Ovis aries: one gene and its partner. The protein of the gene in region 1 purifies or fractionates together with the protein of each later gene. This does not show direct contact. Links are inferred from orthologs where the notes say so. Each region holds a gene or a part of one and is shown on either strand. Other genes may lie near its edges. The genes, in order: AICDA and CTNNBL1.

Region 1 (4,337 bases):
AGCAACCAAGAAGATGGCCAGGATGGCTCTGAGTGCCACTGAGACAAAGAGGGAAGAGGACCGGATTATACGTTGAGAGAGAGAACAGGTGCTCAGTTTTAGCCATGTTTGAAATGCCCAGACATCCAGAGGGAGATGCTGAGGTGGAAGATGGATATACTTACTTTGAGTACAAGGGAGAGTTCCAGGCTAGAACTACAGACTGGGGCAAGGGGAGGATCATTAACATATAGACGATTTTTTAAAGCCTTGAAGCAGAAAGAGAGCAAGAACCCTGGCCGCTTGGCTCACTATTGCAACACCGGCACCTGGCAGTTTCTGTCACCTAGTGGGTATTGAATGTCTTATTGAATGAATAGATAGAATACATATGAATGCAGGAGGGAGAAGTAAAAATCTTTATTAGACCAGCTTGTATGAGGGAGGGAACTTAAAGCCTCTCATTTGAAAAGCCCAACCTGTTTTCTAAGTTCAGTGCAGTCACTTAGAGGCTGATTCTGTGTGATGAAATAAATCTTTTGTTGTTTGAGATGCTGTTGCTTCTGACTTCAAATTAATCTATGGCTTCTGTGGAAAAGATGACCTTATGCAAAAATTATCCTTTGGTGTAATCATCTAGCCTTCTAGCAATTCTTGTAAAGCAATCAAAGGGGGAAAAAAAAAAAAATCAGTGGTTTGGGAGGCAAAAATCTCCGTCCTAAGTCCTGAGTATACTTGGCCAGCAAACAAGCAGGAACAGTTAGTGTCGGTCTTTATTGAGACTCAGAGCTATTGTGTAATTAAATGAGGAATAGATGCTTTTGGCTGATCGGACACACGAGACTTTTAAATTTATTGTTATTATTATGTTTTAAAGATACCATTTTGAGGAGTTTCCTGGCAATCCAGTGGTTAGGACTTGGTGCTTTTACTGCTATGGCCTCGATTCAATCCCTGGTCAGAAAACTAAGATTCCCACAAGCCTTGAGGCTCAGCCAAGAAATAGATAAATGAATAAAGATATCATTTCTTACCAGGATTACAATATACAGTCTGTCTACTTCTCCTGTCTCCTGATCTTTACTACCTGTGGAGGGTGGACTGCATTTTTAAAGAAGCAGAACTAAAGGGACCTATACATTAGGCAGAGTGGCCCTCAGTCATTTTCTCTCTGTGAATTTTTGCCTATGAAAACCCCACCCATCTCCAGTGGACCCAAACAGGAGGAAGCCTGCTGGGGTATGGGGTACCTGTTGGTGGTGATGCTGTTGTGGGGAGGAGCCTAAAGGGCTGAGTTCAAATTTGAATGTGTGAGACCGGTGCATTTTCAGCCAGTGCAGCAGAAGTGCTGGAGGCAAGCTTTTCTTCTTAAGATCTTCAGGGAGCCAAGAAAGACAAACTGGATTCCACCATGGACAGGTAAAGCAGTCTGCTTGTGGGTGGTTGCGCTGGCCTTACTCTCAGAGCAAATCTGAGTGATAACATGCGTAGACTTTCCCTTTCCCCTAACACTGACTCACAGGATCTGCCTGGTCAAGATACACATTTATTTTTCTGGATCTGTCTCATCTTCTGTTCAGATCTTACATGCTTTCCGCCCAATTATCTTTCTCTTTTTTCCTTTCCATACTCAAAAGAACTTTTATGCACCATGCATTGACTTGTCCTTACAGTTAGGATAGTTTATGGTAGTAATATTCATCAGGCAAATGTTAAGAGACTCAAATCATGAAAAGGTCATGGCAATACTGTACTAAAAACAGTAGTGGTAATGGTAATAATTCTGTAAACATTCAACTGTAGAACCTCTTGAAGAAAAACTTGACTACAGAGACTTTATTGAAAATTACATAGTCAAGAAATTATTTTCTAAATGCCAATATTCAAAAGTATTTGCTTGAAGGTCAGTCACTGTCTGTGACAAGGAGATAAATTCAATTGAAAAAGCTTCTTTAATATTATAGGCCAAAGAGGCAGTTAATGGCATTTTTACTCTTTACTGAGTCTCTCCATTTCTTCAGACATGACTTAACTTACTTCTTTAATGCATACTCTGTAAAATTTTGATGATGTCTTCACATGAAGTTTATGACAATGTTATTATCATAGAACTTAACCTATTTCTATTGCAAATGTATGCAAATTTATACCTAATCCATATACTTCAATCTCAGTGTAGAATCTTAATGGTGGATTAAATGTCCTTCAGAAAACTGAGGGCAAAATATCACACGTCAGCTCAGTTTACAGTGAAAACTAATCTGTGGTATGAGACGAAAAAGGCTCAATGGAGATACTTGTAAATAATGAAATGCAAAACAACAGTAAAATCAGAGTTGAAATTCAGAGAAAGTCAGAGAAGGAGAGAGGATGAAATTCAACAGGAGAAAAAGGGAAATACATGATTTTCATTAAGGAAAATACTATCTGCAGAGCACAGCACTGATGGCACGCGGCAGGAAAGGATGACTTGGTCACGATTACTTTTAACCCATCTGTCTCTGGTTTGCATTGCTGGGGATGCAGCCAGGGTTCCGCTTCAGGGCACACAGCTGTCTGGCGCAGCTGTCAACCTGTGGGCCTTACAGACAGTCTCTACCGAGTCCTCTGCATCCTCAAGAGAAACCAAAGAAGACTTCCCTGGTGCGTCAGTGGCTAAGACGCCACACTCCCAATGCAGGGGGCCTGGGCTCAATCCCTGGTAGGGGAACTAGATCCCACATGCCACAAATAAGACCAGGTACAGCCAAATAAATAAATATTTCTTAAAAGAGAGGGAGAGAAACCAGAGAATAGGAACTAAGCCCCCAGCTATAATTAAAGATACTTAACAAGGTCACAGGCATGCAATTCAATTCACTGTGGCTGGTAACTTCTGATGGAAATAGTATTTTCATGTGGGGGTAGAAGGCCATTTGAATTCCTTAGTCTGTGTCCTATCCTTCCTTACACTCCCAGGACACTTTTCCCTCCTACGGGAACCGCCCGGCCAATACCACCTGCAATGCATGATATTGTATCCCCTCCCCCACTTCTCATCCACACAGCCCAGGAGGACAGGTTAAATGCAAAAGGAATTTATTGGTAAGAGACGATGCCTAATCCATTTAAAACTGGGCCCAAAGGAGAGAATTTTTTTTCTTCCTCTCCAGTATTTATTAGGCATCTACTATGTATTCGGTTTATGTAATATGCTGAGGGTGGTTATGTCAATTAACAATAGTAACAGTAACGAGGTAGTGCTGTGGTGGTTTTACCATGGTAAATTATTATCACTTTAGAATAAAGCCAGTGATTATTAGATTTTTATTAACATTCATTTTGGATTTCTGTCAAGTGTGAATTTTTAATTATAAAAATTTGATTGACTAACTTGTATATGGTTTCATATATGTAATGTATACACTGGTGATACATCTAATTCTCTACCTCAGGATTTTCTGTTTTTTTTTTTAATACCTCAGGATTTAAAGTGGATTCCAGGGACTTCCATGGAAGTCCCATGCTTCCATTGTAGGAGGCATGGGTTTGATCCCTGGTTGGGGAATTAAGATCTCACATGTCATGTGGCACAGCGCCCCACCTCCCACACCGCCCCCTCAAAACGATTTCCAATAAGCTTCATGTGTGTGGGAAAAACATTCAAATTACAACACCTTTAAAAATCTCTGGCCCTTGCTTACAGATTTAGTAAGGGTGACACTTGGGAAGTTGACTTCTGGGTCTATCTCATGTATTTCACTATCAAACTATCAATAATCAACATGTCCATACAAAGGTAGGTGTAGAAGCTTTATTCACAATAACCCTCGAATGGAAAACAACCCAGATGTCCCTCAACAGGTGAGTGAATACACGAAATGTGCTGTACCGAAGCAATGGAATAGTGCTTTGCAGGACAAAAGAACAAACTCTCCTGATACATACAGCAGCATGGATGAATGTCAACGTCATAATATACTTAGTACAAGAAGTCAGACACAAATGAGGCGATAATGCATGTTTAAAATAAAATTCTAGAAAATAAACCATCATTTATAATTACAGTGCCTGGGAGGGGGAAAAAGAACTGACTGAAGAGATGGATGAGAAAACTTGGGGGGAGGGGTGCCCTGAAAATGTTCCGTACACGACAGTAGTAGAGTGTTAAGTGTTTACATCTGCCAATATTCATAGAATTGTGAATTTTAAATGGGTGAATATGTAAATTACGCGTGTGTGTGCTCAGTCGCTCAGTCATGCCTGACTCTTTGCAACGCTATGGACAGTAGCCCATCAGGCTCCTCTTGTCCATGGGATTTCCCAGGCACAACCCACTGGAGTGGGTTGCCATTTCCTTCCCCAGGGGATCTTCCCAA
Region 2 (3,818 bases), on another chromosome or scaffold:
TCACAGACAGAGGCCTTTAGGAACAAGATGAAAAGTAGCTACAGGCAGGCCCCGTGGGCAAATAAAGAAGTGCGTTATCTGCGTCTAAATAGTCTCTGAAGGATGCTGGTGGGGATTGATGACCACGGTGGTAAGTCCTTCGAGTTTGGGAGCGTGGAAAGCAGGGTCCCCAGGGCTTCCATCAGTGACAGGTGCCTGAATTGTCAGAGGGAACCATGGCCGTAAAACCACTGACAGAATTAAGAAATGGGTTGTTGTCATCAAAAGCATGTATTCAAGCGCCTGTCTTCTCAGACCAATCTGCTAGTCGTGCAGAACGAGTCTTTCACCCAGTTCCGACTCTGACAGCCTGCAGCAGTCATGTCTCTTTCCTCTCATTCACCGCGTGGATGTTTACTGAGCCGGGGATGTAAAGACAGAATTCAGTCCCCACTTTCGCAGAGCTCACAGCCCACCCTCATGAAATAGAGGGAGTTATAGAAACAGAGAGCTGATAGTAACTGAAATCCATGTGGATATGATGGGCCAGAAGACGGCATGCCGTGGAGTGGCCTGCAAGGGTACTGTCAGGAATTTTGGAAAGGAGTTTTGTTATCCTTAAATGATCAAGAAAGGCTCTGTAGGAGAGGTTGCTTTATAGTGCTGGCATGAGAGATATCCCAGAACTCTTAGGAAGCAAGGCAGTAAAGGCCCTGAGACGGGAAGAAGAGCTGTCTTGGCAGAGGTGGTGATAATCCTCTGAATGAGGGGCTTTGGGGTGGAGTGGAATGAAAATATGCTGCAATGACTGTGATGGTGGTTGCATAACTCTGACTACACACAAAACGGTTACTTTAAATGGTTGAATACTATGGTACCTCAATTGTATCTGGATAAAGCTAGGTTTGTTTTTTAAAGAATCCGCTATACAGGAACATATATGGGGAGAGCAAGTCTGATAGGTCTGGGGTTACAAAACTTTAGGAAAGAAACTCCCTAAAGAGGAAAGAGATTAGCTCTTTGACCTTGAGGAAGTATTGAACTCGTGGAATGAAACAGAAAGGTTGGCGTTTTGTATCTAACAAAATATAAGCCAGAAGGGACACGTAGAATGGGTACCTGCACCATCAGGAGGGCACCAAATCAGAATTGTAGAGAAAGAGGACCTCTCCTCCCTAGGTTAATTTAATTTGGAAGAAAAAGAGAGTTAAGTATATCTTGTAGAGAGGTTACTGATGGAGGCGGGAACCAGAGTAAAGAATGAGTAGAAGTAGATAAATAGATTTATGTCCCCATCAGCTTATTTTTTTCAGGTTGAATGTGTGGATGTGATCATTTTGGCCTTGAGTCTTTGTATAGAGAAAATAATGGACTTTAGTCTTGGCTCCGTGAGCCTCTAGTCCGGTAACAATGAGAACATAAGATACTTGAGAATAATGAGTCAAGCAGGAGGCAAATGAAGGCAGAGTGGTTTTCTCTTGTTGTCGTAGTTGTCATTACTGTTCTCTTGTGAATCGTGAGAGGACTGGAAGCCTGTCCTTCCCTCCTCCGCTCACCGTCTGACTTTTGTTCCCCAATGTTCCTTCCTTTCTAGGACATGGTCCGGCGTGGGGAGATCATCGACAATGACATTGAGGATGAGTTCTACCTCCGGCGCTTGGATGCCGGGCTGTTTGTCCTCCAGCACATCTGCTACATCATGGCAGAGATCTGCAATGCCAACGTGCCCCAGGTAGGAGGGGCTGCCCTGGGTGGGCCCATCCATCCCTGCCTCCTTGCCTGCCGCCGGCTTAGGGGAGAGTCTCTCAAAGAAGGAAGTGGATCACACACTCCTTGAATTCCTTCACTCTACATGGGCCCTCTTTCTCAGGGATGGGGGTGAAGTGAATACTTCCAGTGTGATGTATTCTGATGTCTACCAGGACAAATGATGCTCTTTCTTTCTCTGTCCACTCTTGCTTTTCCTTATTAGATTCGCCAGAGGGTTCACCAGATCCTGAATATGCGTGGAAGCTCCATCAAAATCGTCAGGCACATCATCAAGGGTGAGTTGGATGTTGCTTGTGTCTGGGGCTCCAGGGAATTAATTAGATGTTGCTTTCTTTCCATCTCTGTCTGTATGCCTGGAATTTGGTGCGTAGCATTCTCTGCACTGCAGGCTTAAGTGTGTTGTCCAGGTCGGTCTGTGTCCAGATCATCCTGTCAGAATACCAAAGACTAACCTAGTTAATCTCTGCCTCTGATTCTCCACTTCCAGAATTTTAAAAACACAAACAAGAAGCAATAGGGATTGGAAATTTAAACACACACACACACACAAAAAAAAATCCAGGTCCAAACTGCATGTAGTGAAAGGAAATTACTTTCTTAGGGGAAAAAACAAAAAAACAAACAAAGAAACTAATCAGAACTACCTGGAGTTAAGGCAGAGGGAAGTGAGTTTGAGGCAGGATGGTATAAGAGAAAAAGCACGCCTGCTTTCCAGTGCTAGCTCTGCCTTCCCCCAGCCATGTGAGCAAGATCTAGAAGAAATTTGGAAAAGTTCATGGGATGTTACATGACAGCATCCAGCCTAGTGGCCAGCACACAGGAAATGCTCGGGTGAATTTCCTTCACCTTCCCCAGCGGGTCCCTTTTCGGCTGGACCTGACTCAGCTGGAGTGGCTCCCAGGAGGCCTCCGGTCGGTGAGCACGCTCTCGGTCAGCTTTGTGATGCAGTGCCCACCCTCGGACCACTTAGCACAGACCAGCACACACAGCAGCAGGAGCCCACGCTGGACTTTGCTGATAACACCAGACTTCAGAGTCATAGTGGACGGTACCGCAGGCACATTGTGTCCCTCTCTGACCCTCATTCTGCCCACTTCTTAGCCGAGGAATTAGGCTAGATTTACTTGAAGGGTGTGCAGGTAAGTGGCTTATAACTCCCATTACAGGTGGGAGATGAAATGTGGAGATAAATGATATATATAATAGAGTGAGACGTTAAGAGCCCTGGGTTCTGGGATCTGGCTCCTGGAAGTGAATCCTGTTCCTTCTGTTTGCAGTGCTGCCTCAGGCAAGATATCCAATTGCTCAGAGACCTCATAGAATAGGTAAAAGGATTAAATGAGATGATATATGGAAAGTGTCTCCAGTTCATAAGTTCTTGGTAGATGCTAGCTGAGTATTTGCTATTTGCTTGGTAAATGCTATTGTGAGTATTATGAAATGTGATGATAACTATCGTCAGCAGTGTTACAAGTGAGGCACGGCTAATATCCCATGGGAAGCTGTGTGGGAGTAGGAACATTGAGCTGGGTCTTAGACATTCCAAACCAAAGGAACTGTGTGGGTGAAAACCTAGGACTGGAAGCTACATGATCATCACTGCCCTCCCTGGCAAGTAGGGATAGTAAATCTTGTGCCCATTTTGCAGATGGAGCCTGTGAGGCACTGGAATTTATTGTCTTCCCCCCGAGGAAGAGGAAAGAGGGGACCGTTCATGAGCCTCACCTAGCATCTCCTGTAGTGGCATCTCCCCCTCAGTGTCACAGGCGCGTGAGTTACTGCTTCAGGCCTCACGCCACCTCCTGCCTCAGGTGCAGCTGCGGCGATGTGCAAGCCCAGCCTCTAAAGGACCTTCATTTTCAATGCCCACACATTCAGTAAGAACTTTTTGTGACTCTCAGCTCCGCTGTCTTGCATTTAAGCTTCTCCCTGCACCTCCATCCCCATGATCGAAACAGTGATCTGAGAAAGGAAGAGAGTTTTTAACACCTAGTAGGGGGATGCTTTTCTTCCTGACATCCTAACATGTGTACCTGAGATTATTCAGGATTTTCAGTTATTGCAAGCCA

The links.
Region 2: the proteins of AICDA (region 1) and CTNNBL1 purify together in Homo sapiens (affinity purification with western blotting; 3 studies listed by BioGRID, with this or other methods). This does not show direct contact. The link is inferred for Ovis aries from reciprocal best matches to the Homo sapiens genes AICDA and CTNNBL1.

Annotation. Positions count from the first base shown.
Region 1 is NC_056056.1:206,848,515-206,852,851, forward strand, and holds the start of AICDA (single-stranded DNA cytosine deaminase), read left to right. Parts: upstream 1-1,308; 5' UTR 1,309-1,390; coding exon 1,391-1,398; intron 1,399-4,337. UniProt on the Homo sapiens protein: Single-stranded DNA-specific cytidine deaminase. Involved in somatic hypermutation (SHM), gene conversion, and class-switch recombination (CSR) in B-lymphocytes by deaminating C to U during transcription of Ig-variable (V) and Ig-switch (S) region DNA.
Region 2 is NC_056066.1:66,747,493-66,751,310, forward strand, and holds part of CTNNBL1 (beta-catenin-like protein 1), read left to right. Parts: intron 1-1,573; coding exon 1,574-1,711; intron 1,712-1,951; coding exon 1,952-2,024; intron 2,025-3,397; coding exon 3,398-3,626; intron 3,627-3,818. UniProt on the Homo sapiens protein: Component of the PRP19-CDC5L complex that forms an integral part of the spliceosome and is required for activating pre-mRNA splicing.